Linked DNA regions of Callithrix jacchus. The protein of the gene in region 1 interacts with the protein of each later gene in a pairwise test. Links are inferred from orthologs where the notes say so. Each region holds a gene or a part of one and is shown in the gene's direction. Other genes may lie near its edges. The genes, in order: DMRTB1, RBPMS, PKP2, QKI, EXOSC1, IL16 and CTBP1.

What was found.
Region 2: the proteins of DMRTB1 (region 1) and RBPMS interact in a two-hybrid assay, tested with the Homo sapiens proteins (2 studies listed by BioGRID). The link is inferred for Callithrix jacchus from reciprocal best matches to the Homo sapiens genes DMRTB1 and RBPMS.
Region 3: the proteins of DMRTB1 (region 1) and PKP2 interact in a two-hybrid assay, tested with the Homo sapiens proteins (2 studies listed by BioGRID). The link is inferred for Callithrix jacchus from reciprocal best matches to the Homo sapiens genes DMRTB1 and PKP2.
Region 4: the proteins of DMRTB1 (region 1) and QKI interact in a two-hybrid assay, tested with the Homo sapiens proteins (2 studies listed by BioGRID). The link is inferred for Callithrix jacchus from reciprocal best matches to the Homo sapiens genes DMRTB1 and QKI.
Region 5: the proteins of DMRTB1 (region 1) and EXOSC1 interact in a two-hybrid assay, tested with the Homo sapiens proteins (2 studies listed by BioGRID). The link is inferred for Callithrix jacchus from reciprocal best matches to the Homo sapiens genes DMRTB1 and EXOSC1.
Region 6: the proteins of DMRTB1 (region 1) and IL16 interact in a two-hybrid assay, tested with the Homo sapiens proteins (2 studies listed by BioGRID). The two-hybrid records come from large-scale screens. The link is inferred for Callithrix jacchus from reciprocal best matches to the Homo sapiens genes DMRTB1 and IL16.
Region 7: the proteins of DMRTB1 (region 1) and CTBP1 interact in a two-hybrid assay, tested with the Homo sapiens proteins (4 studies listed by BioGRID). The link is inferred for Callithrix jacchus from reciprocal best matches to the Homo sapiens genes DMRTB1 and CTBP1.

Annotation. Positions count from the first base shown.
Region 1 is NC_133508.1:90,591,695-90,595,194, forward strand, and holds part of DMRTB1 (doublesex- and mab-3-related transcription factor B1), read left to right. Parts: intron 1-17; coding exon 18-190; intron 191-3,093; coding exon 3,094-3,304; intron 3,305-3,500.
Region 2 is NC_133514.1:31,590,111-31,594,193, forward strand, and holds the start of RBPMS (RNA-binding protein with multiple splicing), read left to right. Parts: upstream 1-1,283; 5' UTR 1,284-1,317; coding exon of another isoform or gene 1,318-1,332; 5' UTR 1,333-1,420; coding exon 1,421-1,435; intron 1,436-4,083.
Region 3 is NC_133510.1:38,675,968-38,679,467, forward strand, and holds part of PKP2 (plakophilin-2), read left to right. Parts: intron 1-2,438; coding exon 2,439-2,526; intron 2,527-2,672; coding exon 2,673-2,741; coding exon of another isoform or gene 2,742-2,886; 3' UTR 2,887-3,500. UniProt on the Homo sapiens protein: A component of desmosome cell-cell junctions which are required for positive regulation of cellular adhesion.
Region 4 is NC_133505.1:169,958,217-169,962,395, forward strand, and holds the start of QKI (KH domain-containing RNA-binding protein QKI), read left to right. Parts: upstream 1-1,379; 5' UTR 1,380-1,546; coding exon 1,547-1,688; intron 1,689-1,851; exon of another isoform or gene 1,852-2,196; intron 2,197-4,179. UniProt on the Homo sapiens protein: RNA reader protein, which recognizes and binds specific RNAs, thereby regulating RNA metabolic processes, such as pre-mRNA splicing, circular RNA (circRNA) formation, mRNA export, mRNA stability and/or translation.
Region 5 is NC_133513.1:90,258,838-90,262,337, reverse strand, and holds part of EXOSC1 (exosome complex component CSL4), read left to right. Parts: intron 1-943; coding exon 944-977; coding exon of another isoform or gene 978-984; intron 985-1,932; coding exon 1,933-1,983; intron 1,984-2,746; coding exon 2,747-2,831; intron 2,832-3,500. UniProt on the Homo sapiens protein: Non-catalytic component of the RNA exosome complex which has 3'->5' exoribonuclease activity and participates in a multitude of cellular RNA processing and degradation events.
Region 6 is NC_133507.1:26,333,103-26,336,602, reverse strand, and holds part of IL16 (pro-interleukin-16), read left to right. Parts: intron 1-1,711; coding exon 1,712-2,801; intron 2,802-3,500. UniProt on the Homo sapiens protein: Interleukin-16 stimulates a migratory response in CD4+ lymphocytes, monocytes, and eosinophils. Primes CD4+ T-cells for IL-2 and IL-15 responsiveness. Also induces T-lymphocyte expression of interleukin 2 receptor. Ligand for CD4.
Region 7 is NC_133504.1:191,956,098-191,959,211, forward strand, and holds part of CTBP1 (C-terminal-binding protein 1), read left to right. Parts: intron 1-1,051; coding exon 1,052-1,266; intron 1,267-2,569; coding exon 2,570-2,700; intron 2,701-3,114. UniProt on the Homo sapiens protein: Corepressor targeting diverse transcription regulators such as GLIS2 or BCL6. Has dehydrogenase activity. Involved in controlling the equilibrium between tubular and stacked structures in the Golgi complex.

The DNA of each region.
Region 1 (3,500 bases):
TTGCTTGCCTTCTTTAGGGCGCCATCTGAGCATCCACCCGGACCGTGCACTAGGCCCTGAGTACCCCGGCGGCTCCAGCATGCACGCCTACTGCCCGTTCCCGCCGGGCTACCCGGACGCCCCTCCTGGCGTCCCCCTGCAGCAGGGCTTCCGGCATGTGTCCCACAGCCAGTACCAAGGCGGAGGCTTGGTGAGTCCCACCCCCCTCACTCCTTGCCAGCTTCTTCCTCCTCCCAGCTGCCCCTGCCGCCTTGATGGATCCTCAGTCCCAGGAAGCCAACTGTCATAAACCATGTACCCGACTCCGTGCCAGCCCCTGAATGCTGGTGGAGGGCAAGGCACTGCCCAGGTACAGTGTGTGTCTCTGGGAGCATACACGTGTGGACCAGTCTGCACCACTCGGCCTGGACTGTGGCCTGTGCTTTTCAGGGCTGTGGGCTTTCCAGGTGACACTTGCCTTGACTCATGCTGATGCTAGAAGGGACCTTCATTTTGCTGGCCTCCAGAGAGGGAATATCACTTCCTGGGACCACAAAATTTAGGGCAGAGCCAGGACCAGAGGTAGGCTCCTGTGCACAGGCATAGCACACTTGAGACTGCAGAGGGCTTTCAGGAGGAGGTGGTGTTTGAGCTCAGTGATGAAAAATACGGAACCCTTCCCCCAAACACCTGACACCTTAGGAAATACCTGTTGAGAGAATGAAATTTAATCCTTCATAAGATTAATTAAAGTCAGTTGCTAGCTACTGTTCTCACTGAGCTGGGAATTTTGAGTACCAAGTGTGTAAAGTCAGGTCACCCCTATGGTGTGTACAGCAAGGCAAGTGTGATTGGGTTTTATGGCTTGGTTACCAGCTCCTTCCAGACTAGGATGGCTAAAAGCCTGCTTCCTCCCTAATGAAAGTCATTAGCTACACAGCGTGGAGCCGGTCCAGTGGGGCTTGAGCTGTGCCTGGGCAGGTCAGATACACAGGTCACCGGGTCCTCTCTCCTGCTTCAGCCTGGTGGCAGCAGCATCTCTCCCACTTGTCTTAGATGTTGTAAAATTGTACTTAAAAATCATTTTCCATTGGTTCAAGGAAAGAAAGTTTGAAAGCCACTGGCCTTGATAATTCCAGGGTACCTACTGAACCTTCAAGGTAGGTGTTATACCCCATTGTAGCATTGAGAAAAAAGGCTCAGAGAAGCTATGTCTTTGGCCAGGGTCACAAAACTGGTGAGAGAGAGAGACTGGGATTCCAGTTACATAGCTGGTTGGTGACAGTACCACGTTGTACACCTCAGCTGCCCTGACTCTGGAGCCCAGGCGCTATCTACTGCTCCTTCCTCTCTCATACCGAGGTAGAACACACCTGGCTTTTGACTTGCACCACCACTGCTGCTTGCCTGACATCTGTGGGCACTGTCCAGGGAGAGCCAGGCATCTCCAGCCTCCACACAAAGAGTGGGGCTCTGGCCAAGTAGAGCATGCTCCGTCTGCTCATGCAGAAGCCTGGAGCCTGGCGTCCAGGGCAGGGCTCTGATTGACAGGCCTGCCAGACGGCCTTTGTTAAGAGTGTGATCTCAGTTGGTTTATCTGGGCACGAGCTGCCACCACAGGCCCCAGGCAGGAGCTGTGATCCGGGGAAACGCTTGGCTGGGCAGCTTGGAATTAAAACACTAATAATCCCCCATCCACCCTCTCTCGTCTGGAGAGAGGATCAGGTGTTGATTTGTGAGCTGTTTCAAACCCCAGAGCCCCTAAATCACTTTCATCCATGTCCTGCTGCCCCTTGCCGAGGCGTGGAGGTGCTCCCCAGAGCAGCTTCCTCCTCCGTGTTCTTGTCCCTGCCCCACCTGCTGCTGCTTGGCTTCCTCTGCTCTCCTATTCACAGGACAGCACAGGCCCTGGAGGTGGACAGACCTAAGGTCCAATCCTGCCTCCTCCGTCATGTCCCAACCACGTGCTCTGTGGCAGTTACCTGACCTCTGAGGGCCTCGCTTGGTCTTGGTCTGTAAAATGGGGGTAGGAGGACCTATTTCATAGGGCTCCTGAGTAGAATAAATAAGGCAATGCATGTGAAATACCTAGCACAGGGTCTGGCACATAGTAGGTGCTTAAAAGTGGGCTTTCTCCTCTTCCTGGTGGTGGAAAAAAGTTAGGAAATGCTGGGTTAATCTAAGGAGATTTTTACAGCTTCTTCTGAGCCTTTAATATACTCTTGTGTGACCCACTAATGTGGGGAGTACTATGTGGGGTTCCTCAAACTCACTTAACAAATAACACTTTTAAGACTACTAAGAAATGTCTTGTAGGACACCAGGGCTCCCTGAAACTCAGCTCAGGAAGCGTTGCTCTGAAGCATGAGAAGGAAATGACAGGAACTACATCCAAAAGTCAGTATTACTTCTTAGGACATTCATGTCTTTCTCAGTTAAGCTCAGAGCTGTGTAGTCATCCCCGTCCGGATCCTGTGATGGAGCTCTGTGCTGCAGTAAGGGGTTGGAGTCCATCCCTTGAAGGAACAGAAGCAGCAAGTGTTGGTCAATGAGGCCACTTGTCTGAAGTCACCAGCGTGTCTTGCTTCAGAAACAGCTGCACTACACCCATATTGCCAATTTCTTCTCCCAAAGGCCCCCTGGCACTTAAGTTTAAGTCACCACATGTGCCAGACAGGGGGTCCTGTGGGGTTGGGATGCATTCAGACCCTTCCCCAGTGCAGAGCAGTGCTGCACAGTCAGCTGAGTGGGCTGTGGAGTCAGCCAACTTTGGATCCAGTTCTGCCCTTACCACAAAGCAGCTCTGGGGCCCTGGGCCTGTAGCTTCATCTCACTGAAGCTGGTTTTCATCATTACAAGGCCAGTAGTAGAACCCCCCTCCTAGGTTCGTGAGCACCCCAGCACAGTCCCCCTGCCATACACAGAAGGGCTCAGTCACTGACCACTCAGCTGTTCCCATGCTTATCTGAGGTTGCCTGTGTTGCTTCTTGCCTTCAATAATTTGGCAGGTGCTTGCTGAATGCCTCCTTCCAAGTGCCCTGTGCCTGTATGTTTGGTCAGCCCATCTGGCTAACTCTCTCCCCACTCTGCCTCTCTGCTATGTGTGCTGTGCAGGCATCGGAACCAGTGGGAGACTTCCAGCCAAGCTACTACCCACCACCGCCACCACTGCCGCCCCTTCCACCTCTTCCACCGCAGCCCCAGTTCCTCCCACCAGGATACCTCTCTGCCCTCCACTTCCTCCCTCCGCCACCGCCACCGCCACCACCACCTCCATCATCTTTCTCACTGACCGTCCTGATTGATCCTGACAAAGAGAACACTGGTGAGTGAGCTTCCAGGAGAACCAGGGAGACTTTCTGGAGGAAGAGGTACCTAATCTGATTAGGTGTGGAAAGAAGGGACATGGAATTTAAAAGATGCTGAACCCTAGGATGAGCTCTTAACCCCTTCTCCAGTCCCCATAAGCCCGCATCTAAGGGAGGTGGGAATGGGATTCCAGGTGAGGAAACCAGGCCTCC
Region 2 (4,083 bases), on another chromosome or scaffold:
TCTGTATGGGAATTTTTAACCTTCGTAGGAAAAGCAATGGAACATCATGGTAGCTAAAATTGCAAATCTCAAACTTGGCAGAATTATTAGAAAAAAGTAAAGTTCAGTAGAACAGATTGTGAGGAAAGCATTATTCATGTCACAGGAGTTTACAAATAACAGGTGTACAATGCACTGGGATGTTTCTCGCCCATTAATGGAAACGCTCCGGAGACTGTACAGTCAAGAAGATGGATAAGGTTGTAGATCCCTTCCGCTATCTCCAGTGATTCATTTTTTTTTTCTCTAATACTGCCTAACTTCCTCTGTTACAGACACTGGGTAGTATCAACATGTTTCCTTACTGTTCAATCTGAAAGACAAACCCTCCAAAAAATTAAAAATAGAAAAAGTAATGTTCTGATTTATCTGCCATCAATACTTTTTATTTGTGGATTCTCTTAATACCATATCAGAAATAACTTTATAATTTATTTTTTTGAGATGAAGCCTCGCCCTGTTACCCATGCTGGAGTGCCGTTGCGCGATCTCAGCTTACTGCACACCCCGCCTCCCCGGTTCAAGCGATTCTCCTGCCTCAGCCTCCCAAATAGCTGGGACTACAGTCACCTGCCACCACCCCTGGCTAATTTTTTGTATTTTTAGTGGAGACAGGGTTCCACCGTGTTAGCCAGAATGGTCTCGATCTCCTAACCTTGCAATCTGTCCACCTCGGCTTCCCCAAGTGCTGGGATTACAGGCGTCAGCCTATTTTTTATTTTGTTGTTTCTTTTTGTATAGAGAGTCTTGCTAAACAGTATTTCTTGGCCCTTGCCCATGCTAGCTGTTCCCTTTGGTGATACGGGCAAAATTAACCCAAACCATGAAATAAAACATTACACTCTATTTCCTTCTTCCCTGCCTCTCCAGGTTTCCATCGCTTTTCACCTTAGCCCTTAGTTTTGTTGCACTGGTAGCATCCTGGAGCCTCGCAGGTTTTTCTCAGCTCATTCACTCTCTTTTCACCCTCAACCGTGGCAGCTCCAGAATGCGGGTTTCTGGTGTGTTATCTTCTGTTTCTGTGAACTTTCGCTGCCAGTCACTGCCTTTCCATTTTAATTGCATTCTCCCACCCCCGCAGTCTTCCTGGAATGCTTCCTGTTTTGCTCAGGTGGGTCTCATCCTCCCGGGGCCCGCATCTCCTCTTTCGCCTTCGTCTGACTGAGCCCGGTTGCAGCTGAGTCCTCGGCGTGGGGAAGTGAGGTGGGGGAAGCTGAGTCAGGTGCGCGACCTTGTGTGTCCGCACTTCCGGTCGCGCGGCCCACGCCGGCCGCCATTATGATGCAGAGCCAGGTGAGTCGTCTGGGCCCAAACCTGCTGTTGGAAGTGCAAGGGCACCGAGAACCACCCTACCTGTAAGAGATCTGTTAAACTTCCTCAGATGGGATGGGGAAAGGTGAGAGGGTGACATTTCAGGTGACCAATGCCTGAACTGGGGCTTCCAGGGAAAGGCTAGAGAAAGACGTGGCGAAAAACTCTCCCTCCTGGGGCTGTGACTTCTATTATATTTACTCATCGTAACTTTTTTTTTTTTTTTTTTGAGACTGAGTTTCACTCTTGTTACCCAGGCTGGAGTGCAATGGCGCGATCTCGGCTCACCGCAACCTCCGCCTCCTGGGTTCAGGCAATTCTCTTGCCTCAGCCTCCTGAGCAGCTGGGATTACAGGCACGCACCACCGTGCCCAGCTAATTTTTTGTATTTTTAGTAGAGACGGGGTTTCACCATGTTGACCAGGATGGTCTCGATCTCTTGACCTCGTGATCCACCCGCCTCGGCCTCCCAAGGTGCTGGGATTACAGGCTTGAGCCACCACGCCCGGCCAACATTGTAACTTTTTAAAAATAACTGTGGAATTAATAGTAATTCCCCTGAAATACCCACCCTGTGTTGATGGAGCAATGGCAAAAAGCTCGTGCTTAAGTATTCTTGTCCACAGCGTTGCCAGTGCCTCCTTGGTACGGAAAACCAGGTGTGACAGAGTCACCTCAAGCCCCGCAACTTCTCCAAAACCCGAATCTGCGTGAATATTGCCTTTCTATAAAATAATGGAATCCGTTTGCCAAGTCTATATTCTCCTAAACTGTAATACTTAATATTTTTTTCTCTGAAGTCTTATTTTAAATGGTTTTTTAAATGGTGCCCTGCACTAATGTTTTTGGTAATTATGGCTAAAAAAAATTTAAAATCTTTAAGTGATGTAAAAAGAACCTGAATCTGGAATATGCTGCGTGGATACTGCCTTTTTAAAAAATACTGGAATCCGTTTGCCCAAAGTCTATATTCTCCTAGACTGTAATACTTAATATTTTTTCTCTGCAATCTATTTTAAATGGTTTTTTAAATGGTGCCCTGCACTAATGTTTTCAGTAATTATGGCTATAAAAATTAAAAGTCTTTAATCTGCATGATATAGGAAAAAAAGCTGTGTAGAATAGTAGTTAAGAGCCCAGGCTTTGTTGAACTGCCTGAGTTCAAATCAAGCTCTAACACCAGCTGTTTTGATTTTGGACCTGTTCCTTTACCCTCAGTTTCCTTATTTGCAAAATAGTTCCTATCTTACAGGGTTGTGGTCAGGGTAATTGGGTAAATACAGGTTTACAGTTGCTTATCTGAAATCCTTGGGGCCAGATGTGCCTAAAAATCTTTCAGATTTTATACTGATTGATAATTGACTGAGGCAGTCTGTTTCTGTGGCCCATGCTGGAATGCAGTTAGCTCACTGCAACCTCCACCTCCCAGGTTCAAGCAATTCTCTGGCCTCGGCCTCGTTAGTAGCTGGGACTACAGGGGCGAACCGCTATGCCCGGCTAATTTTTGTGTTTTTAGCAGAGATGGGGTTTCGCCATGTTGGCCAGGCTGGTCTGAACTCCTGGCCTCAAGTGATTCTCCCACCTTGGCCTCCCAAAGTGCTGGATTACAGGTGTGAGCAGCCACCCCGCCTGGCCTCTTTCAGATTGTAAAAGACAACATAGTACATAACGCATTGGTAACATAATATAGTGAGGTCTAAGGTAGCACATAGTAATTAAGCACATTAATATTTTTGCAATGAAACATGAATAATACACTAAGTGGGATAAGTTAAAACTATAAATAGTTTAACATCACTTCATATCAGGTTTTGCCACCCAGTGAGTTTGCACTGCCCTCCTCCCAGACTCACCACTGTAGGCTTTTAGAGCGTTTAGATTTTGGAATTGTGGATTAGAGGTTGTGGAGTCATATGTAAACCATTTGAACAGGGCCTGGCATATAGTAAGCACCCTATAAATGTTATGTGCAAAACTGAATTCTTCCTATACTTTATGACTAGTTTGTCATTATTTAAAAGAGTAGTTTAAATCATAGTGCTTTAAAGTGGATGTAGTGTAGGCCTATGTAACTATTTGTGTGTATTTTTTGCATATTACTCCCTCATTTGGGTTTCAGGTCTGTTTTTCCCATGGTAAAAGAACAAGAGAAAACAAGGCAGAGCAGAAAAGTTCCATGTTCCTTCTCACTCCTGCTTGCCTAGTCAAAACAATTGAACAGTTTAAGATGTCTATTTCAAAGATTTCAAGTAAATTCTAAAATGTTTCCTCTTGTCGTGACTTGTGACTTCAGCCTTGACTTGCCACTCTGTGCATCTAAATCTTTTGATCTGCTTTGCTGCCAATGGATTATTTCCAGAATATGATGGTGTAGACATTCTTACATTTTAGGCAATTTAAATGCTTCTAAGATTTTTTTTCTTACCCAAAAGAGGTGGCTTCTGAGTTTAGGACTGTGGGATTGATGTTTTATGTGAGTTCATGGCTGTGTTATGTTATTTGGCCTGAAAGTCTAGTGATCTGGTACATTTTATCCTGTGATCCATTAATATGTATTGAAAATATACTGCAGTTCTTACAGTGAAAAATAATTAGACCCATTTCATCCTCTTTCTACTTAATACACATATTTACCCAGTCTAAGCCTGATTAAGAAGGGCAGTGTGGGAATGGCTGAAAGAAAAATACATGCTTTTCAAAAGGTAAACCAGAACTGGAAGCAGAAACTCTGAA
Region 3 (3,500 bases), on another chromosome or scaffold:
GCCACAGCTGTGATTTAGTAACAGCAGAATGTAGGGAGAGCAGGAGTCCTCTGGACAGGCAAGTGCCCTTTTCCTCTGCCACTACCATCTTGGGAGGAGACGTCACACCAGGTGGCTTAGAAGAAGCAGTGATGGCCAGGCACTGTGCTCAAACCTGTGATCCCAGCACTTTGGGAGGCCAAAGCAGGTGGATCACTTGAGGTCAGGAGTTCGAGACCAGCTTGGCCAACATGGCAAAACTCTGTCTCTACTAAAAATACAAAAAATTAGCTGGGTGTGGTAGTGCGCACCTGCAATTCCACCTACTCCAAAAACAGGCTTGAGAACTGCTTGAGCCCAGGAGGTAGAGGTTTCAATGAGCCGAGATCATGCCACTGCACACCAGCCTGGTTGACAGAGTGAGGCTCTATCTCAAAAAAAGAAAAAAAGACAAGCAGCAGCAGTGATGGCACAGGAGAAGCAGTGGAGGGGAACCTGATGAGAAAGTCTTGTTTTCACAGTTTTTTCTCTATCTTATCTCTTCCACCTCTTATTCCCTTTTGAGAATAGAAGGTCCGGTACATGTCACTCCACTTCCCTGTTCCTGTTTTCAACTTTTTCGTATTTAAAAAATAACAAAGTGGGGATGAGAATGAAAAACCTTATATAACCAAATTATTTACTATTAGAGTGATGAGATTGGAAAGGGACATGAATATTCTCTTTTTCTCTTTATTCAATTCTGAGTTGTTTAACTTGTTACATATAGATACAAGTTACTTTTATAAATAACCAAACAAGAAAAGAAATGGCCACTATAGCCAAGTTCTAATGAATTACAAAGCAGATAACTTCACCTGTACTGAAGAAACATGGGTGTGCTTGGCTGTACAAGGATGTACATTGTTTCCTCCACCACAGCCCCACCGAATTTAGGCCCCTTCTCCTCTGTAGCCCCACTCTGCAGTGCACATGAGGAAGGAAAACTGCATTCAGTGTCAGATTAAAACAAGCCCTGAGCACTGGAGTGTTATATATCTGACCTGTCATTTGTGGGCTAGCCTAGGAACTAATTATCATTTATAACATCACATCTTTGAATAAATGAGTATCAAGTACCAAACAACCAACTTATAAACAAACTTTATGAATATAACACCCTTGCAATTTAATAACTTTTTACAGTTTCGAATATTAGAGACCCATCACTTCCATGGATTTATTTGCCCTTCAGTTTTCACAAGTGATTCTGAAAAGTCCAGGAGGTACTAGCAAGTTTGTGAGATGCTGGTTTGACTGATCCTCCCTGCCGGGCTAGTATGGAAGAGAAAGGCTTTTCACTGTTGAAAGAACACATCATGCTCTTCTCTGTACGTCTTTGCACTCTCTGGTTATGGTTTTATGTTTACAAACGCCTATGATATGAGTAAAAAAAACCTTGGTTTAAAAAAAAAAAATCAGCCATGTGCTAGTCAGGGGATAGAAGAGAAAGAGCTCTAAGGCAGCACTGATCTAAGCCAAAAGTGGGACATTTAGGATAAATTTAAAAGCAGAACATGGGGCAGGCAGGGTGGCTCACGCCTATAATCCCAGCACTTTGGGACCTGAGGCAGGTGGATCATCTGAGGTAAGAGTTCAAGATCAGCCTGACCAACATGGAAAAACCCCATCTCTACTAAAAATACAAAAATTAGCCAGAACGGTTGTGCACATCTGTAATCCCAGCTACTTGGCAGGCTGAAGCAGGAGAATTGCTTGAACCGGGAGGCAGAGGTTGTAGTGAGCCGAGATCACACCATTGCAGTTCAGCCTGGGCGACAGAGCGAGATTCCGTCTCAAAAAAAAAAAAAAAATTAAATTAAAAAATTTTTTAAATAAAAAATAAAAGCCGAGCATTAAATACTAAGTACAATGTCAAATGCAGTGGTGACTTGGATTTATAGCAGGAACAAGTTTTCCATTTGCTCTATACCGAAACATGAAGAGATTCTGAAACTGCTTTAACAAGGGCTGCCACAAGAATCTCTTTTATTGACTTGAAAAATTACTTTACTCCTGCATTCATAGCAGCACAAAAATCATGTTTATTTTTCAGTCATACTTTCATGCATTTTTATTCTGTAAACATACATTATAACCATTACAAATATAGATTCTATTCTATAAATAATTCAAGGATTTGCAACATGTCTAAGGATATATTCCTTATAAATATCAGGGATTTTCTCTATAAACTATTTATTTATTAGCACTGTCCTAGTGGTTTAAAAAGAAAACAAAAACAAATGTGGTCCCTGCCTTCCAGAGCTCACTGTCTAATTGGTCACCGAGTGACCTGACTTCATGGACGGCTGCTGGGAGCGGCAGTTGAAGAGTGCAGAGTCTTACAGAATGTCACCAGGCAGCATCCAGAAGCCTCAGTCATTCTGCCTGATCTCAGAATGTTCTTTTCTTTTCAGCTATGCCTCCAACAAAGCAAGTAAAGCTGCTTCTGTCCTCCTGTATTCTCTGTGGGCGCACACGGAACTCCATCATGCCTACAAGAAGGTAAGAACAGGAACAAGGAATGTGTCATAGTTAACAGAGGCTGGTAATAATGGCCCTCTTGACCCTAGTAAGAAATCACTAAAAAACTGCATTTTTTTATGTGCCAGTTTTGTTACCTTTCACGTTTCTGTTTGCTTATTCCTAAGGCTCAGTTTAAGAAGACAGATTTTGTCAACAGCCGGACTGCCAAAGCCTACCACTCCCTTAAGGACTGAGGAAAATGAAAACGTATTCTCAGCTGCAAAAAACCCCAAAGGAAAACACCTATTTTTCTACTACCCAGCCCAAGAAACGTCAAAAGCATGCCTTGTTTCTATCCTTTTCTATTTCCATGGTTCCCCAAATCCTGCAAACAAATAGAACATAATTTTATGAGTCTTCCAGAAGACTTTTGCAAGTTGCCACCAGTAGATACTGGCCTCAGGCTCTGTTTTACCCCCTACAAATAGTGGTCCTTATTATTGGGCTTATGGTGCATGGCCTCCTGGAACCAAAATATGAATTCATGTGGAATGGGCATTCATCCAGTAAACAAGGAAAGAAGCTGTTGCATTACTGGGATTTTAAAAGTTTTATTTACATTTATACTCCTTTTCTGGGTCGCTTGTTTTGTCACTCATGTGCACATTGCTTCCCCACTGGGCCACGAGTGTGTTGTTCTGCAGTGTTGAAACAGAATGGAAATGACAAGAAATGTCTGCAGTTATCCAGGAGAAAGTAGAATGGCAAAATTGTTTGTTTCTTGGTTTACCTTGTACTTGTTTTTATGCCCTTGAGTTGTTTTTTTTTTCTCTTATTTTTAAGTTAAGAAATTTAGATTACAGAATATGCATGACTGTGAGAAAAAAATTGAGAGGAAGTGATCATAGCAAATTAAAAAATCTTTTCCTCCCAGAACTTAAAATAAAATTAATAAAAATAAAAATCTTTTCCACAGAGAAAGGCAACTGTGATTATAAAATTTAACATTCTCC
Region 4 (4,179 bases), on another chromosome or scaffold:
TCGCGCGTGGTTCCCTCGGCGACGAAGCCGGAGCCCGGCGCGCCGACCGAGGGCGCCCCGCGCAGAGTCCCGCAGAGGCGGACGCCGGGGCGCGCGCCTCAGAAAGCCTCAAACTCCTGTCCTCCGCACCCCCCGCCCCCCGCAGCCGAGACCCGCGCCGCGTCAGGCCGGACTGCCAGTGCAGGCCGACCAGCCCTCCGCACGGTGGGCGACGCGCCTGGGCCCCGGTCAAAACCGCCAGACTCAGACCCTAGGCGGCTGCCGCCCCCAGCCCCGCCCCCGCCCCCGCCCCACGCAGGCGCACTCCGGGCCACGCGCCTCCCCCACCGCGCGCTGGCGGGGCCCGGCGGGGGCGGAGCGACCCTCAGGATGGGCGTGGCCACCAGCCTCGACGCGCGCACGCGCTCTGGAGCCCCACAGCTACGTGTCGGGCCACGTGACGCCCACCCCGAAAGTCCCCCGTGAAGCAACAGGACGTTAAAAAAATTTCTCTTCTGCGGGGTGGATGAGAGGTTTTGAAAGAACTATAGTAACGAGGAGCGAGGCGGAGGCACCGTTGGCGCGTCCCGCTGGGATTCCTCTCGCCCGCCGCTGGGGCCACGACCGCGCCCGCGGCCCCGCCCGCCCCCTGCCGTGGAAAGCCCCGCGTACCCCGCACCCTGTGGCCGACAGCCTTGCAACCCACACCCACGCACCCCGGGCGCCCGGCACGGCAGCGACCCCATCCTCTGCTCCCAGGCCCGGGCCCGCCCAGCGCCGCCGACCGTCACGCTCCCGCCGCCCGCCCCGCCGGGGAGGCAGGGAGGAGGTAGCCAGGCGCCAGTGGCTGCCAGGGTGGGGGGCGGCGGGCAGCGGGCTGCAGGAGCGCGCCGGCCCGGCCCCGCTAACGGCCGCCCTGCGCGGCCCCGCCCGCCTCCCGCCCCCGGCCCTCCCCCCGCCGCCGCCCCTCCCCCCCTGCCGCCGCCGCCGCCGCCGCCGCCGCCGCTGGCAGCGCCGCCTGAACTGAGGCGAACTCCGCCGCCAAGTGAGTGAGGAGGAGGAGGAGGAGAAGGAGGAGGAGGAAGAGGAGGAGCGCAGTCAGAGCGCGGCGGCAGCGGCAGCGGCAGAGGCGCCGCGGCGGGCACCAGCCCAGAGAGACCCCCGAGCCCGCGGCACAGGCGGCGGCGGTGCTCAGCGGGCGCGACCAGCCGAGCTAGCGGCGGCCCCGGCTCCTCCTCGTCCGGCGCCAGCGGCCCGCGCCCCGCGCCCGTACTCGGCCAGCCGAGACCCGCCTCCCGCCGGCCTCGTGAGGGACGCGCCGAGTCGGGCGGCCGAGAGCGGCGGCGGCCGGGAGCGCGTCGGCCCCGGGCGGAAAGTGCCTGCGGGGGGCGGGCGAGCGCGCGGTGCCGGCCGCCCCGGGGCTCGGCGCGGGAGCCGGAGCGGGAGCCGGCGCGGAGCGGGACGCCGGGTCCCGAGCGGCCGGCGGCCGGGGCTCGCCCCCGCCCCTCCCTCCTCTCCGGCGGCGGCGGCGGCGGCGGCGGGCGGAGTGAGCTGCGGAGCCTGGAATATGGTCGGGGAAATGGAAACGAAGGAGAAGCCGAAGCCCACCCCAGATTACCTGATGCAGCTGATGAACGACAAGAAGCTCATGAGCAGCCTGCCCAACTTCTGCGGGATCTTCAACCACCTCGAGCGGCTGCTGGACGAAGGTGAGCGCCTCACGGGCCCCGGCCCCAACCCCGCCGGGGCAGCCCCTTTCCCCGCTCCGGATGGTGGGGAGGGCGGGTAGGTCACGGCCGGGCGGGACCGCGCGCCGGGGGGACGGGGAGGCCGGGAGGACGCACAAAGAAGGCGCGGGGCCCGGCTGGCGGCGGCGAGCGGGCGAGCGGGCGGGCGGGCCGGGGTGGACCCGCCGGGGCCGGACGGCCCCCGCCCGGCCGGGACCCAGTGCTGCTGGCGCCCAAGTTTGTGCCGTGCGGAGGGCTGCGGGGCGGACGCTGCGGCCCCTCTAGCTTTGGCGGTCACATTTCCGAGAGGCCGGCGGGGGCCGCGCGGGCTCGGTGGTCCTCGCCGAGCCCTCTCGAGAGCAGGCCCACGCCGCGCCGCCGGCCTGGAGGACGCGCGTGTCCCCGGCGCGGGCCCCGCTCCTCCGCTCGGTCTCCCGAACCAGCCCGGTGCGGACCCCCGCTGCCCCGAGTTCGGGAGCTCTCCCTCCGGGTGAGGACCAAAGCGGGGTTTCGTGCTTGGGGAATTGGTGCAGCTGGTAAATAGTAAGTGGAAGTCAGCGTGGGGCTCGTTCAAGAAAATTCGGTAGGAGACCGAAAGTAATGCTGGCGTAGCCGACAGGGAGGACGAAGTGACGGCGAAAAGCGCTTTTTTTCCTTTTGTTTGGGGAAGCGAGAACTGTTAGGGAGTTGAACTTCACTTTTCGGGGGTGGGGGGGGGTGGAGAGCGAAATACCGCGATGACAGATCGGAGCGCTGCCTGAGTTAGGAAGAACTTGGGCGGAGGGTTTGCTCTCGGGGACGCAGCCGCCTGAGTTTTCAGGACAGGGAATCGAGACGCTGGGAAAGGGCGAAATAAAATTGAGCCAAAGTTTCCAAATAGCTTTATGGAGCTCTGTGGGGAGCGAAGAATGACAAGAAGATTAATGTTGACCAACTCTGGAATTTCCTTAAGAAGTTCTCATAGCAGGACCTGGAGTATTAATTTTTAGTAGCTGTGGGTTTCTGCGGACACCTAGAGAAAAAAAAAAAAATGACCACACACAAAAATGTCTGTTTCGAAAATCGACTAGCCAGGATTTTTTTCTTTTTCTGCTTAGAGGCATTACTGGAGGACTGTAAAATGGAAACCAAAAACTGTAGGTTGAAGAAATAGTGGAGTTTAGGTTTTTCGCAAGAATTTCGAGATTTTAAAAGTAGTCGGGGAAAAGGAGTTTGAAGCTTGGGGAGTTGGAATGTCACCAAAGAACAAAAGGCCGGAAATGTTTACATGATAAAAAGATGGTTAAAGAAAAATCCCAGGAGTTTTGTTGTATTGAAAGTCGTAGAAACAAAAGTAGGAAATGGTTAGGTGTTAGGCTTTCTGGTCGTTGTGCTTCCGTGTGTTAAACGTACAGCACTCACCCACATTGAAATGGGCATTTTCCACTGTTGGAACAACAGATCTGCTAATTTCAGGTTGCTCCAGAGAAAACTTCAGCTGTCCCTTTAAGGGGTTCTGCTTTTCCTATTTGTGTTGGCATTTGAAAGATTGTGGAGGCAGAAAACTTTCTGGAATGTCAAAAAAAAAAAAAAAAAAAAAATTGCTGTAACTCTTAAATTGCGTATTTCCGAATGTGAGCGCTAAGGGGCGCCAGTTATTTTTTAACCATGAAAATGGTCAGAACGAAATGTGAAACATACACAGTAATCTGACCTATATTAAATTAAGTATGGATTATTTGATTTGTCATCACGTGTTCCTATAGTGTTCTCGAACATTGAAAACACAATTATTGGCACAAGTTTATGACGTTTCAAAAATAACATTTTCTCTTTCGCATATTTTGGTTAAGTTTTAATAGTGCTAGTAACAATTTCTGGTAAAAGTTTTTTTCTTGAGTGCAGTTGTTTAGCAGGAATCCTTTTTCGACGGTAAAATGAAAATAGACCTTGACAATGTTTAGGGTTAGTTAAAATTAAATTGCATTCTTGAAATGTTGAATTCAGAGACTATAGGAGATTCAAAAAAAAGTGAAAATACTTCACCTTAGTATACTATTTAAAAAGCTGCATACTTTGGAGTTTCTTTAGTTTAAAAGGGCGTCTCACTTGTGCTTTTATGTTGATCTAAACTCTCTTCATAATTTAGAGCTGGTTCCTTGTTACCAAGTTTCTAACTTTTTGCTTTAATAATTTTTAATTTTTCAAATCCAGAAATTTGAATTACGTCCCTATTTTTAACCAAGGTGTATTTCTCTCTGGTTGGAAATAGTAATCGTTTGACTTTAAAATGTAGGAGACCGAGAGGAAATCTCCTTATATTTGTTTCCCCTTCCCCTTGTAATGTGGCTTATTCCATTTCTCATCTTACTCTAGTTTTAGCCTTGTCAACTCCCAGTGTAAAGATTGCTTCTGTATGGCAGATAGTATGTTTAAAATGGGCAATATAATGACAAGGAAGTTTGACTGTTTTTTATCAGACCAGTACAAACAT
Region 5 (3,500 bases), on another chromosome or scaffold:
TTGTGCATGTTATTTCTATTATTGCACTGTAATATATAATGAAATCATTATACAACTCACCATAATATAGAATCAGTGGGAGCCCTAAGTTTGTTTCCCTGCAACTACAGTCTCATCTGGGGGTGACGGGAGACAGTGACAGATTATCAGGCATTAGATTCTCATAAGGAGTGGGAAACCTAGCTCCCTCATACGTACAGTTCACAATAGGGTTCACACTTCCATAAGAATCTAATGCCTGCCCTTATCTGACAGGAGGCGGAGCTCAGGCAGTAATGTAAGCGATTGGGTAGCAGCTATAAATACAGATAAAGCTTCTGTCACTTGCCTGCCACTCACCTCCTTCTGTGCAGCCTGGTTCCTAACAGGCCACAGACCCACCACCAGTTGGAGACCCTTGCTTTAGTGCTTCTGTTTATGCCCTGAGGCACCGAAACTCCTTATCCTGTCTTGCCAAATCTGAGGTATTGATACTGCTGCTCCACCCTGCTCCTCTGGGTAGCAGCTGGGTCCCAAGTAGACTTGTTGTCTGTTCTTGTAGCTCTTTATTTACTAGGAATCTACAGGATAATTCTTTCTCACAGGCTGGGCAAGGTGACTCATGCCTGTAATCCCTGCACTTTGGGAAGCTGAGGCAGGTGGATCTCCTGAGGTCAGAAGTTCAAGACCAGGCTGGCCAACATGGAGAAACCCTGTCTCTACTGAAAATACAAAAATTAGCCGGGTGTGGTGGTGCACACCTGTAATATCAGCTACTCGGGAGGCTAAGGCAGAAAAATCTCTTGAACCTGGGAGGCGGAGGTTGCAGTGAACTGAGATCACACCACTGCACTCCAGCCTGGGTGACAGAGGGAGACTCTGTCTCAAAAACAAACAAATGAACAACAAAAAACAAATTCTTTCTCACAGATAATTAATCTTTATGTTAATTCTTTTTTTATAGCAAGGAAGATATCCGAGCAACTGAAAAAGACAAGGTTGTTGGTTGGTTCTTTTTTTTTTTTTTTTTTTTTTTTTAAATGGCTTTATGACTCTTAATCCTTTAAAAGTATTACCTCAGGCCAGGCATGGTGGCACACACCTGTAATCCCAGTACTTTGGGAGGCTGAGGGGGGAGGATCACTTGAGTCCAGGACTTCAAGACCAGCCCTGGCAGCATAACAAGACCCCATCTCTGCAAAAAGATCAGCATCCGAGTATAAAAAATTAAAAACTAGCTGGGCATGGTGGCTCATGCCTGTAGTCCTAGCTGGTTGAGAAGATGAGGCTGGAGGATTGCTTGAGCTGAGGTGTTTGAGGTTATGTGGTGGCATGCACCTGTAGTCCTAGCTACTTGGGAGGCTGAGGCAGGAGGATCCCTTGGTCCAGGAGTCCTAGGCTGCAATGAGCTACCATTGCGCCACTGCACTCCAGCCTGGGTGAAACAGCAAGATCCCACCTCTTAAAAAAAAAAAAAAGTGAGGATTGGGGGCAGGCACGGTGGCTCATACCTGTAATCTCTGCACTTTGGGAGGCCGAGGTGGGCGGATCATGAGGTCAGGAGTTCAAGACCAGCCTGACCAACATAGTCAAACCCTGTCTCTACTAAAATTATAAAATTTAGCAGGGCATGTTGGCACACGCCTGTAATCCCAGCTACTCAGGATGCTGAGGCATGAGAATTGCTTGAACCTGGGAGGCAGAAGTTGCAGTGAGCTGAGATCGCACTACTGCACTCCAGCCTGGGCAAGAGAGAAAAACTCTGTCTCAAAAAAAAAAGACTTTCATTTGTATGATAATACTATAGAAGCAATTAAAAGTTGTTAACTACATAAGTAATGATGCTTTTACCCTCTAGGGTTAGAAAGTAGACTGGCTTTACCAGAGAGGTTCACAGTTTCATGTAGACCCAGTCTAGAGCTTTCACTTACCATTCCTGTTCTTTCTTTACAGGTTGAAATTTATAAGAGTTTCCGCCCAGGTGACATTGTCTTGGCCAAAGTGGTATCCTTTATTCCCAGCAGAATTCTGGTCCTTTGTCAAAAGAACAGATGGGGGCTGGGTGCAGTGGCTCACGCCTATAATCCCAGCACTTTGGGAGGCCGAGTTGGGTGAATCACCTGAGGTCAGGAGTTCGGAGTTGGAGACCAGCCTGGCCAACATAGTGAAACCGTGTCTTTTTTTTTTTTTTTTTTTTGAGACGGAGTTCCGCTCTTGTTACCCAGGCTGGAGTACAGTGGCGCGATCTCGGCTCACCGCAACCTCCGCCTCCTGGGTTCAGGCAATTCTCCTGCCTCAGCCTCCTGAGTAGCTGGGATTACAGGCACGCGCCACCATGCCCAGCTAATTTTTTGTATTTTTAGTAGAGACAGGGTTTCACCATGTTGACCAGGGTGGTCTTGATCTCTTGACCTCATGATCCACCCGCCTCAGCCTCCCAAAGTGCTGGGATTACAGGCTTGAGCCACCGCGCCTGGCCTGAAACCCTTTCTTTATTAAAAACAGAAAAATTAGCTGGGCATGGTGGTGCACACCTATAATCCCAGCTACTCAGGAAGCTGAGGCAGGAGAATCGTTTGAACCCAGGAGGCAGAGGTTGCAGTGAGCTAAGATCGCACCACTGCACTCCAGCTTGGATAACAGAGCGAGACTCCATCTGAAAACAAACAAAAAAAACGAGACAGAAGTAGAAAAACAATTCAGGTGGCTATGGTGGGAGGGAAGACTTTTAACTCCTCATTTTCCTTTACCAGTGTTATGTGACTAGATCTCCCTAGGTGACGCACAGTCCAACTACCTGCTAACCACTGCCGAAAACGAGCTGGGAGTGGTGGTAGCCCACAGTGAGTCAGGTGAGGTGGCCTTGCTTCAACATCCTTACTTTCCCTGGAGTTGTGGTTTGGGATTAATCCATTGTTTTTCTTGATTTCATTATCTGGGAAGCAGTATGGCCATAGATATTTCGTTCTGAGATGAGAATGGTTTTTTTTTTTTCTTTTTTGTGTGGTGATGGTGGTGGTGCTGGTTGTTTGAGACAGGGTCTCTCTCTGTCATGGAGGCTGGAGTGCAGTGGTGCAATCTCCACTCATCGCAGCCTCGACCTCCTGGGTTCAGGTAATTCTCATCACCCAAGTAGCTGAAGTACAATGGCGCATTCTCAGCTTACTGCAACCTCCGACTCCCAGGTTTAAGCAATTCTTTTGCTTCAGCCTCCTGAGTAGCTGGGATTATAGGCAACTGCCACAGCGCCCAGCTAATTTTTTTGTTTATTTAGTAGAGACAGGGTTTCTCCATGTTGGCCAGGCTGATCTCGAACTCCTAACCTCAGGTGATCCACCCACCTCAGCCTCCCAAAGCGCTGGAATTACAGGCGTGAGCCCTGGCCTGAGTTTTGTTTTTTCAGTAGGGACGGAGTTTCACCATGTTGGCCAGGCTGATCTCAAACTCCCGGCCTCAAATGATCCGCCTGCCTTGGCCTCCCAAAGTACTGGGATTATAGTCGTGAGCCACTGCGCCCAGCC
Region 6 (3,500 bases), on another chromosome or scaffold:
CATATGACTATTTGAGAAACTCTACAGGGAAAGTCCATGAAAGCCTTTTGGAGGGCGAAGGGACATTTTGGAAAGATCTAGCACATCTCGCCCAGAGCAGAGGCCTGTGGGGGCAGCTCCTTTCACTTCCCTTAGTCACCCTCATTGAGGAACATACTAGCGAAAGCAAATGCCTCAGTGTTGAACTGGCAGGAGCTTGTCACCCCAGTCTGTAGCGGGCTTGACTGTGGAACCTCTGCCTCCTGATTCTCACAACAGCCCCTTATAGCCAAGCCATTCAGAAACGCAGAAACAGGCTGGAGGGCTGGGCTCACTTGCCAAAGGCCAGCCTCTTGGAACGTGCAGTATTTCTCTTTGATATCATCGAGGTGTAATGCTCCACAGGATTCCCTTCTTTTGAAACCTGGCATTGAGACAAGGGGCAGGAGGGATCAGAGTTCCTTAAACTGGGTTGCGTTCCAGTAGCAAGCATCACTCAGAGCACACAGGGCAGCCTCCCTCTGCTCCTGGGAAAGAGAGCTGGGGCACAGTCTCCCCTACCCACACAGATGTGATGCTGGTTCAATGCCGGCTTCTGAGAAAGGCTGCTGTGTGCTCCAGGGCACACCTGAGGTCCTGGCTGGCACAGAACAGGCTGCACATTGCAATCCCCTGCTTATCACATGCCCAGCACCCAGGCTGCATCCCGGGTATTTTCAATCAGTACCTAGGGGTGGGCATCAGTATTTTTAGGACCCTCCAGAGTCCAGTGTGTAGCCAAGATGGAGAATCCTTGGCACAGATTTCTTTGTACCTGGAACCTTTTCATCAGCTCTTGAGGGAGGGAAAACACTCCTTTGCTGAGCAAGCTGATCAATGACCTGCGTATAGGGAGAGCGGCAAACACAGTTTCAGGGCCAGGCAGTTGCATACGTGGGAAATGCCAGCTGGGTGAGAGGGAGTGTGAGGAGCTGTGGGTAGCTACGGTGGCCTCATTGGAAGGTGTACACAGGTGCCGTGCTTTTTTTTTTTTAATTTCTCTTTATTATTGAATTGTTGATCCTTTTCTTTTGTCTAATTCATAGTACCTCCATCCTCAGCTTTCTGATTTTTTTTTTTTTCAAGACGGGGTTTCACCATGTTGGTCAGGCTGGTCTTGAACTCCCAAACTCAGGTGGTCCACCCACCTTGGCCTCCAAAGTGCTTGGATTACAGGCATGAGCCACCACGCCCGGTCAGGCGCTGTGCCTTTTAACAACATGGGTAGGCCCAAGCACAAACAGCTGCCAACTTGTGACCTGTGTCTTAAAAGTTTAAACAGTGAGAGAATTGCTTTGGCTTTTCCACATTTGACACGGTATCTTGGAGGCTCCTTAGTGCAGTAGAAAGGACGTAAACTTTGAGAGTCAGGAGACATGGCACTGCCATCAGATGGCCCCTTACCCTTCTTGAAATGTAAAATGCCAGAGATCAGCCCAGATGTTCTCTGAGTGACCTTCCTGGCCTAGACACTAGGAAGCCATGAGGTTAATTCCTGCTTCTGGCTCTTCACTGCTGCCTGTTGGCAACTCAGTCGGGTAGTAGACCTGGAGCTCACCCACCTGGTGTCTCCCACTTCTGCCAATCTCCTTCTCTTGAATCCATCTTGCTGTTCAGCTTGGAAACTAGAATTTAGGGAGAAATATCACAGTATGATGTAACGCACAGCTTTTGGCCTCGTTTCTGCACATAGTGACCCAAACATCCCCGATAAAACACCCACTGCTTAAGAGGCAGGCTCGGATGGACTATAGCTTTGATACCACAGCCGAAGACCCTTGGGTTAGAATTTCCGACTGCATCAAAAACTTATTTAGCCCCATCATGACTGAGAACCATAGCCACATGCCTCTCCAGCCCAATGCCAGCCTGAGTGAAGACGATGGGACACAGGGCCACCCAGATGGGACCCCACCAAAGCTGGAGACGGCCAACGGCACTCCCAAAGTTTACAGGCCAGCAGACAGCAGCACCGTGAAGAAGGGTCCCCCAGTGGCTCCCAAGCCAGCCTGGTTTCGTCAAAGCTTGAAAGGTTTGAGGAATCGTGCTTCCGACCCAAGAAGGCTCCCTGATCCTGCCTTGTCTGCCCAGCCAGTGCCTGCTTCCAGGGAGCACCCGGGACCACACACCCAGGCTTCCTCATCCTCCATCAAGCAGAGAATTAGCTCCTTCGAAACCTTTGGCTCCTCTCAATGGCCTGACAAAGGAGCCCAGAGACTAAGTCTACAGCTCTCCTCTGGGGAGGCAACAAAACCTGTTGGGAAGCATGAGGGAGGTCGGCTTCCTGGACTCTTGGGCCGAGGGGCTGCACCCACTCTTGCACCTCAGGAGACTGAGCAAGTGCTGCCCTCGGGGTCTCCTGCAGCCTCCGAGGCAAGAGACCTAGGTGTGTCTGAGTCCCCTCCCCCAAGGCAGCAGCCCAGTGAGAAAACTCTTCCTCCTGGCCCGGACCCGCTCCTGAGGCTGCTGTCAACACAGACTGAGGAATCTCAAGGCCCAGTGCTCAAGATGCCAAGCCAGAGAGCACGGAGTTTCCCCCTGACCAGGTCCCAATCTTGTGAGACGAAGCTCCTGGATGAAAAGACCAGCAAACTCTACTCTATCAGCAGCCAAGTGTCATCGGCTGTCATGAAATCCTTGCTGTGCCTTCCATCTTCTATCTCCTGGGGCCAGACTCCCTGTATCCTCAAGGAAGGGGCATCTCCAACATCATCATCCAAGGAAGACTCAGCTGCAAATGGTTTGGCCGAAACATCTGGCTCGGACACGGGGTTCTCGCTCAAGTGAGTTTCTATACCCGGTGTTTCTCTTCACCTTTCTCATCTTTTTCTTTCTCACCTTTCTTTTTAAAAATAATTCTATATATCATTCAAAACATTTCTCAGATATGCTGGCTAAAGGACTGTTTTGCCTCTTTACATGTGTGTGCAGATGTGTGTGTGTGTGTGTGTCTATAGGTATTACACCTGTGCCTTCCATATTAAGGAGGAGTTTTCACAACACCGGGCTTCAGGAGGACTGGGAGGTAGGGGAAGGGACTAGCTCCCTGGTGAATTGCTCATGGGGGCTGTTGCACGCCTGTGGAGGTTTGGAAGGCTGATGCACATCTAAAATGTCCTGCGGTTACTCAGAAAGACCACAGTGAGGCCAGGAGATTATCCATCGGGAATTCTTACTGCTCTCCAAAAGGAATCCACTTGTACTCTGCACATGGGTTCAACTCCCCGGTCAGGGAGTTAGGATGTCTGGGTCCTAGTCCCAGCTCAGGCACTGATTCTGACCATGAGCAGGTTCCTTCCATGCTCACCCTCAGACTCCTTTTCAGCTGAAATTAGGAGGTGGATGAACCTGCTTTGTAGAACCAGAGGACTGTCAGAGGTACCATGGGCTCCTGCTGTAGGGATGGAGCTTGGTCTTCCCTCTGATCAAACTAGCTCTGCATTTATTGGTTGCATTTATTGTTCTTATGCTGCTGGGAAATA
Region 7 (3,114 bases), on another chromosome or scaffold:
GCCTCCCAGCCTCCCCCAGTCCTGTTCCCCTGGGTGTTTGGGCTGCGTCCGGCTGCCCTGTCTGCCTGGCAGTCTGGTCTCCTTGGCCCTCAGGTCACTACGGGCCCCTCGCACATGCTGTTTCAGCTCTCCGGCTTCCTTCCTGTCCCCTCGTGTCTCTAGCAAGCTTGGCCTTCTCAGGGAGGCCTGCCCTGGCGGCCACCTTTGAAACTGCGTCCACTCCCCGTCCTGCCCCAGCACCCACCCTGCTTCCTTCCTTTGCAGCAGTCCCCTCCTACGTGATACAGGGGAGAGTGCGTTCGAGGTCTGGGGTCCTGTGTCCTTACAGCCGTGTCTGCGCTTCTGAGTCTGTGCCCGCACTGTTGGCTCACAGTGGGTGTGACCCTGCAGACCCTTCCGTAGGGCAGATCCAGCCCCAGCCAAGCTTGGTGGCCCTCTCTCCGAGGCTCCTGTGCTGGGACCCGCACCAGCGTTGGACTGCTGGGGTGGGGGCAGGCAGTGGGTGAGAAGGTCCCACAGCAGGGCTGGGGGATGGGTAGGCATGTCTGCCTGGGTGGCTTTCTCTGCTGCTCCACACAACCAGGACAGGACGTAACCCCAGCGGGAACACCCTAGTCTGGAAGGTTCCCTCCTGCCCCATTTGCTGTCTCCACCAAGCTGTGGTTGAAATTGAGGTGCCAGAGACGCTGATGGGTAGACCCAAAAGCAGACCATCGGAGGGGCCTGGGCACACATGGCATGTGTGGGCTGGGTGGAGACCTGCTGACCTGTCCGTTTGACGCGGAGTGGTTCATGTTGCGTCCTGTGGACAGACTGCAGTGGGCGTGGCATGACTGACACGTGGTATGGGCCCAGGGGAGAGCTCACCCCTTTCCACCCCTGTGTACAGCCTCCGCCTTGCCAGCGGGCACATTGGAAGCAGATGTCTTGTGTGGAGCGGGCACCCAAGGTGTCATCTTTGGCAGACAGATGGTCAAACTGAGGCACAGAGGCCACGCTGACCCTGGCTGTGGGTGAGCAAGGGTCTCATGCTGCCTCTTGACGCCACCAGGTCGTGTAGGGCAGGCGGTGGCGCTGCGAGCCAAGGCCTTCGGCTTCAACGTGCTCTTCTACGACCCCTACCTGTCAGACGGCGTGGAGCGGGCACTGGGGCTGCAGCGCGTGAGCACCCTGCAGGACCTGCTGTTCCACAGCGACTGTGTGACACTGCACTGCGGCCTCAACGAGCACAACCACCACCTCATCAACGACTTCACCGTCAAGCAGGTGCGTGGGCCGGGGGCAGGACTCCCTTCTGGCAGGGACAGCATGAGGGACAGGTGGGGATGTCAGGTGGGTCCCTCCCAGCTGCCACCTGCACCTGGGTGAGACTCTGCCCTCCTTGAGCCACACCACGGTGTCCACCAGCCCTGCTGGAGTCAGCCACATCGGCACAGACGGCTTTCTCCATGTTCCGGGCTCTACTCAGGACACCTAAAATGCTCTCCATACGAGACAAAACCACAGACCTTTGAGTACCAGATCCCCGTGAAGTCCTTGTCGCTCACACAGCGGGACAGATGCAGCTGCCTGGGGGCCTTGGGTCGGCCATTGTGGCTTCCGTGCTGTGCCGCCAGGTTCAGGTTGCAAATCTGCAGCTGGAAAGGGCTGTGCTCAGGCGGGCCTCTGCCTCAGCACTGTGCTCCCCTGGAGTGGGTGGAGTTGGGGGCGCCTGGCTCCCACTGGCTCCAGGCCTTTCAGAGGGCTGTATGTGTGCATTGGTGTGTATATACATGGGCACGTGTGCTTGGGTGCACATATGTCTGCACTTTGCATGTGCTGGTTTGTGTGCATATGTGTGCACATGTCAGGGGCCACGTGTCAGCCGCCTGCCCAGACCCCTGTAGCCGCAAGGAGGATGAGGCCAGGTGCCCGCTTCCCCTGTCTTTGTTCACAGAGCTTTCTAGTGCACAGGGTGTGGCACATGGACGCTGGTCAGAGCCCTGCTGTCTCTGAGGACCTTGGGTGTGAGGCTGCAATGGGCAGCAGCTCACAAAGAGGAGCCACTGTGACCAGCACGGGTGCCCGCCAAACACCGTGGCTGGGTGGGCTGGCTTTGCTGAAATGGAGGGATGCAGGAAAGCCGTGGCTGCGAAGCCAAGGGGGAGCCTCTCCAAGGGCCTTTTGTGAAAGCGCATGAAACACAGCAGGCTCTGCTGCAGGCCCCGGGTGGGGCTGGAGTTGAAAACCACGCCTCAGTGCAGGCAGCCCTGGGTGTTGGGAGGCTGGGCTGGAGGGGACCCAGAAAGAGGGTACCACAGGGGCCAAGCCCGGAGCCCCACCCAGTCCTCAGCTCGGCTTGGACAGGAGGGTCGAGCTCTCTAGGAGGTGTGGGGCTGTGCAGGTCTCTAAGGCCTGAGCCCCAGCCAGCCTGCCAGGGCCATGGTGCCAAATGCCCAGGGTGGGCCTGGGCTGGGAAGGGGCCAGGGAGCTCCCCCACCTGAGGGGGCGCACTGCCACCCTTGCTTCCCTGGTCACCCACCCTGCGCAGATCCCTGACTGAGCCTAGCCTTGTCCTTATGTCTTCCAGATGAGACAAGGGGCCTTCCTGGTGAACACGGCCCGGGGTGGCCTGGTGGATGAGAAGGCGCTGGCCCAGGCCCTGAAGGAGGGCCGGATCCGCGGCGCGGCCCTGGACGTGCACGAGTCGGAACCCTTCAGGTGCCCCCACGGCTGGTGCCGTCCCTGCCCTTCCCTGCCCACCTTCCTGCCAGGCCAGGCACTTGTCTTTGCTCAGCCTCTTGCTAGCCAGCACTGGGGGAGTTTGCCCTCCACTGTGTGATGAGGATGGAGCCATGGGCTCCAGGCCTGCCTTGCCTCAATGCTGGGAGGCACTGGTTGTGCTCCGCAGCCTCTCTTTGGGCAGGGCTCCCAACCAGCCAGGAGAGCATGAGGCTCCAGTGTCTGTGAGTGGTCCCCGACGGCCCTGGCCATGGAGCCACGGGGTCACATCCCTACCTGCAAACAGTGCTCTGGGACCCCAGGCAGCCCTGGGCTGGATGTTAGTTACAGAAGATACCCTCGGCAGGGGCAGGATCAGCTTGTGGGACCCACAGACCCTTCGGTGGAGAGGGG